2 linked regions of the Kluyveromyces lactis genome follow. The protein of the gene in region 2 binds, or shares a complex with, the protein of the main gene of each other region. Links are inferred from orthologs where the notes say so. Each region holds a gene or a part of one and is shown on either strand. Other genes may lie near its edges.

Region 1 (2,654 bases), on a different chromosome or scaffold from region 2:
GAACCGGTATATCCGTATCAGTTTCTACCATGTCTATTATCTCTGACATTCAACTTGACTGAATAATGCACCCTTGCCTATCGCCAAAGAATCAAAAAAAATATGGATTGAACACTAATAACCCCTGTATATGGGTAACCTAACAAAATAGACCTTCTTCTATATTTATATATCTACTGCTAATATGCTCCTTCAACGCCCGTCTCGAATATTTTGCCATCAACTGGCAATGGCCGAACCCTATTTATTGAGGTCATTGGATCCTAACTTTTCTATTTTCGAGAAAAAAGACGGCTTTAACAGTTTCTATGGTATCTCCTCTTATACAAAGAAGCACAGAATTGAAGAATCCTCGAGCAAAAGAAAGAGCAACTTCGTTATGCTGTGGTGACTGGAAGTAAGAACAGTTTGAAGATAGGAAGCTAAGATGGAAAGTTAAAAATGCATTAATATATGAGGAGAGGTGTAAGTAAAGGCCGTAGCTTCCGGAGGAGTGAAGAACCAGAGCTTTGACCTGAAAGTCTATTATACAGTTGTCGGTTTTCTATTTTGACTATGATATATAGTACCCACAAGATTTCTTACTTACGACACAATAAGTAAGCGTTTTCTTGTTTCAAGTTGTTCAAAAGTCTATAATTTCCCTCAAGTCTCATCAACAAGCCACCAAATGAATAGTATACTGCAAGCAAATCCTTGTTACCCTTAACTTCTTCGAATTTGTAGGCAGTTCCGTACATGACATAGTCATAATCATCTGCAAGAGATCTGGTTCCAGCAGGTGGTGCTCTCCAAGAGGTACCCTGAGGTTCCTCCGATCCGTCAAGTTGGAGAGAAGTTGTGATCATGACTGCAAGTTGATCTTGAGTCTTTATTGGGAACAATTCACTGTTGATATCCAATGTTAACTTACAGGATTCTTGTGAAGTCGATTGAGCTTCAATACGAGAGACCTTGTTGTATCTTCCTGTGTCCACTTCTTGAACGGTGAAAACGTCATCAAATAGTGCCGATGACATGACGTGTGTTGGTAAATGAGAGTACTGTTGTGTTGGTTCTAGTTATTAAAGTCGGTGGGCCAGTAGGAACACAAATGAGAGACGAAAAAGAAGGGAACTTATCGGAGAGTCTGTAGTGGGTATGAAAGGTTTCAAACTAATAATTTCACTGCTGATATGAGACTATCTACAGTGAGCCGAATCGAAAGCGCATCACATGTATATGATTGTCTGTCTCTCAGTTGTTCCTTCAGGCGATGAGTTACAACGAAATTTTTCAAGATTTTTCTTGCCCATGAAAAAAATATGTGTCCGGGTAAAAGAAACAACTTCGGGTAACGCTAATCAATTTGCCATCCCTTAGAAGTCCGAAGAATCCAGGATACAGAGAGACGGTCCGCTCAACTCTGCAACTAGTTGAAACGCTTGTCGGAACAGTCTGGATGATTATAATACAAATGATGAATGAACCTACATGTTAGTTATACACTAGATAACAACTGTTGTAAAAAAAAGGGTAGCCAAAAAAAAAAAAAAATTACGAATCATGGGCAGTTGATAAGGCACGATAAATGGAAGTACCTAATCTTGGAATTTAGCTCTCCTAGATAGCTTTCAGAAACTGTATGATATATTCGGAAAAATATAGTGTTCGATTTAACTTTGTAGTGGAGTTAAAATGCGAGGGAAAATCGTAAGTCAAACCAAAAGAATTAAGGGAAAGACGAGTATGCTAAAGTCCATTCAATGGACAAATGAAAGTTTGAGCCGGAGAAGCAATAAGAAAATTAGAGATTAACTAATTAATTTAACTCTTAACTCTAACACTCTATTTCAACTGTGTTGTAGGTCTCTTAGCCTGGTAATCCTTGATGGCAGCCTTGATGGCATCTTCAGCCAACATAGAACAATGCAATTTAACCGGAGGTAAACTCAATTCTCTGGCGATTTCTGTATTTTTAATCTTTGCTGCATCTTCCAAGGTTTTCCCACGGACCAATTCGGTCATGTATGAAGAAGAAGCGATGGCAGACCCGCACCCGAACGTCTTGAACTTAACGTTTTCTATCACTCCTGTTTCGTCGTTAACTTGGATTTGCAATTTCATCACATCACCACAAGCTGGGGCACCGACAAGACCCGTTCCAACATTTGGCAAATTCTTGTCTAGAGACCCAACATTTCTTGGGTTTGTATAATGATCAATGACCTTTGGATGGTAAAATCTAGCAGAGGCCATGGAAGGACTAGAGCCGACGGTAGGAGCAGTTGCTCTAGCAGCTGCTACACCGATTATTCTAGTTCCGCCTCCACCGCCGTGCATTAGTGCACTTCCCATCCTCTGTACTGCAAACATTTGTCCTCTAAACATTTTTAATTATGTGTATGTGTTTTGAATGTTGATCTGTTATCCTGAACTACTAAACCTTGATTCAATATCTGGATTATTGAAGATCTTCGCTCTTGCTATAAAATTACAGTGATGCATATTATATACACAATAAATGACTCTTATATATATATAATAAAACTCTTAAAAATCCAAAATTCCAGGCGTCGAAGTTTAAATTTCTAATACAAAATATTCCATAAGCGTGGTAAACTGGGAAAAAGTGTAAAAAGAAAAAAACAATGAGAAGGAACAAAGAAGATACG
Region 2 (3,396 bases):
TTGAATTTGGTTCTTGAACTGGCATTAATTCCTTATGACCTAACTTGAGAGAAATTTTCCACAATAGCCATATATGCAAATCGAGAACTGTCAGCCCATCGTCTTTGTATAATTTGTTCAAGTGCAACAATTTCGGGATTGCCATTTCAGGGAAAAATTTCCCGCCGAAGTGGCATAAGATTGATTCGTCTGTAATATTGTTGAGATATTCCGTCTCCTCTATAGCTGCTGAATGCATCCAAAAAATGATATCGTGATATCTACCGTTCTTGTCATGAATCAAATTGAAGGGAATTAAGTTCTCATCTTTCTGTTTCCCAACCACCATCGAACAAGTTGCTCCTACACCCAATGAACAAATGTTGTACTCCTGGATATATAAAGTATTGAATGCTTTTTCTACAGCAGTTAAAATATCAGAGGTACATTGGGTAATGATCCCATTTCCATGCCTAAAATAAGGGACTTTTTCTTTCGTTTCCTTGACTAGGCTATCAGTATAATAATCAAAAATACCTATTCTAAACTCGGTAGATCCCAGATCGACACCTATCCCAACATCTTGCATATCCACAGGTTCTATATATGATGTTTAAGTTCTAATTTCTCGATTATACCATCACTTTCTGTATTCTTTTAGTTGATCATTATAAGATGAAGGTTGATAATACGAGATGAATAATTCTTTTTCTTTATATAGTAAAATAGATTTCTGAAGAAGTGTAGATCAATTGCAAAAAAGTATTATACAAACGCATGTTCTACTTAAATCATAGGGATAAGCTACCTTCTTGGCCCTTTACCTCTTCTAATCATTTCTGGTAGCTTGAATGGTACCTTCAAAGTTGCTATTTTATACGTTGAGGCAGAAGACTTTGGAATGCCAAAGGCTTCAGCTTGAGCTACAGTAGCACCCTTAACGGTAGCACCTAAGATTTTGAAGAGACTGACAAGCTTGGAAGGCTTTAAGTTTAGTTGTTGAGCTAAAGGTGGGACTTCAACAATGAAGTTATCCAAATGCATAATAATTACCAAAATATAACATAGCAATTTGTCCTCCCTCTGTGGATCGATAAAGAATGACTTATCTTTTGATCTACCAAATTGACCAGGTCTAGAGATGGTAAACCTTTCCAAAATGCCATTTAATAGGGCATCTGGAGGGTTGTTTATTCTTTCCAATAATTTTGTCTTGTTGTTAACTCTTCTGTTATCGTACACCCCAGCCAAAAGTGATAAATAATATAGTAATTGCAATTTTTGCATTTGTGCTGCTTGTGTTAGAGTTGGCAACTTGTTAGCCACATATTGAAATTTAGTGTATGGGAAATATTCTAGCCTCTTTTCTGGGTCTTGCTCTTTCATGATACTGCCAACGCGAATAAATGACCATTCCTTTTTGGGTATTATGTTGTATAAAGGATAAATTTGTTCCACATCTGTTGCGTCTAAATCAGCCAACGGAGTTGGTCTATCAGAAGATACAGTTTCTTGCAGTTCTTCCTTTGAAGGCAGTTCTTTCGAAGCAGTCTTCACTGTGTCTACAATATCTATCGCAGAATCAACCAATTTGTCTGAATCAATACGGTTTCTTTCCATATCAGCAATGGCCTTCTTTGCCTTCTTAGTACCGAACGCCTCACCTAAAGCGTTTCTCATCAATGCAGCACGGACGTTAGCCTGTTTAATGTCAGGTCCCATTAGGTTCTTTCTAGATTTGGAAAGAACCTTGCTGGATACCAGTGGTGCCTTGTACAATTCTACAGACTTCGTGGCGGCATCATAAACACCAACAACATACTGAGAAGAATTAACAAAATCATCGTCAGTCTGACCTTCATATTCTAGTCTATCGTTTTCACCATGTAACACGTATTTGTCGCTGTTCTTCTTGTTCTTATATAGCTCGAAGGTGGTATCTTTTGGTGCCTGGAAGCCCTTAAAGAAGCTACTTACAGCAACAGATGGTTCATCATGATAAGCTGAAACACCAACCTCAGTGAATGCACGTTTGGAACCCATCTCCACACTCTTAGTTACTACACAGTCAGCTTATTTCGGACCTTGGGATACCTTTCAATGATGTACTAATTTCCCAATATAGTTTGTGATCGATGCTTTACATCTCATCTCATCGCATATCCAAAAATTTTTCGATCAAGGAAAAAGAAACAAGAGTCATGTGACCGAACCATTGGATTATTGAGTTGGAAAGACGAAACTTCGACCGTTTGCCAGATTAATAAATGCCTTTTATAGTACCTCGTTACACCAAGCTTAGTCAGGACGCCTTACTTTTTCTGCTGCATGTTAAACCTGCTTTTTCATAGATTTCTGTGTTGTATTTCGTTCAATGCTCTGTTAGAGGCGATGAGGTTAGCTTTTGATATTTCATTGAAATGTTGACAGACATCAACAAAAAGCTATGTCAGCACTTATACCAAGTTGAGTGGTTCTGTAGCAGAACATCCAGTTATCATAATGCAACGATCCTTCTATGAAATTTTGGGCATTGAAAGCGATGCCAGTAATATCGAAATTAAAAGAGCTTATAGGGCCATGTTACTGGAAACACATCCTGATAAATCTGGATTGAATTATAATTCCAACGGAAACAATACATCTAGTCATTCTGTTACTGATATCCAGGAAGCTTACCAGACCCTCATTGATCAGGATTTGAGGAAAAAATATGATGAGGAACTTGCTGAATCGTTCAAGAAACTTGGCTTTCACAATGCAGGTGATGGTCTAGATCTTTTCTCTCTAGATCTGTTCGATTACAGCGGAGATGAACAATCTTTTTCGATGAATTGTCCCAGGTGTCAAATAACTGATGGGTTCCAATTAACCGAAGATGCTTTGGAAGAACATGCGATAGATTATGAGGGAGGTGGATATTTCGTATTGGTGCAATGTTCGGCTTGTTCACTATGGTTGAAAGTCTTATTTGACGTTATGGAAGAGTGATGTGACATATCAATTATGTTTTCACAATTAAAACCTGAAGAACTTCCTTATATTGTATCTATTGTGTCATGAAAAATTCACACTATTTACAGGTATGTTTCTTTACTTATGCATACTAAGAGCCACGTCAAAAAGCATACTGAATGTATCTAGATTTTTACGGTTCTTTCTCCGTATTTGTTTGCTCAGCGTCCAATATGGAAATGAAGGCTTTAGAGATAGCTTCAAAGTCTGTCATGAGGCTTACATGTGGCATTTCGCTAGCTATCTTTGCTACAATAGGAAAGCCGCATTTTTCTGGAAGTAACCACTTGTGATGTACAACACCGTCACCAGGTCCGTAATAAAAGTCTTGATACAGTCCTTTCTTTATCTCCTCCCGATTTTTAACCTTGGCACCTCTGACCGTCGGAACCCTATCACCAT

The links.
Region 1: RPA49 (region 2) and RPB8 share a complex: the UniProt entries of both Saccharomyces cerevisiae proteins name them as parts of the RNA polymerase I (Pol I) complex. The link is inferred for Kluyveromyces lactis from reciprocal best matches to the Saccharomyces cerevisiae genes RPA49 and RPB8.

What each region holds. Positions count from the first base shown.
Region 1 is NC_006040.1:610,521-613,174, forward strand, and holds RPB8 (DNA-directed RNA polymerase core subunit RPB8), read right to left. Parts: upstream 1,020-2,654; coding exon 582-1,019; downstream 1-581. Other genes in the region: KLLA0_D07117g (mitochondrial fission process 1 family protein), read right to left, coding at 1-49; putative iron-binding protein ISU2, read right to left, coding at 1,828-2,370. UniProt on the Saccharomyces cerevisiae protein: DNA-dependent RNA polymerases catalyze the transcription. of DNA into RNA using the four ribonucleoside triphosphates as substrates.
Region 2 is NC_006039.1:266,188-269,583, forward strand, and holds RPA49 (DNA-directed RNA polymerase I subunit RPA49), read right to left. Parts: upstream 2,023-3,396; coding exon 784-2,022; downstream 1-783. Other genes in the region: MPA43 (Mpa43p), read right to left, coding at 1-568; JJJ3 (Jjj3p), read left to right, coding at 2,482-2,970; KLLA0_C03003g (uncharacterized protein), read right to left, coding at 3,128-3,396. UniProt on the Saccharomyces cerevisiae protein: DNA-dependent RNA polymerases catalyze the transcription of DNA into RNA using the four ribonucleoside triphosphates as substrates. Component of RNA polymerase I (Pol I) which synthesizes ribosomal RNA precursors.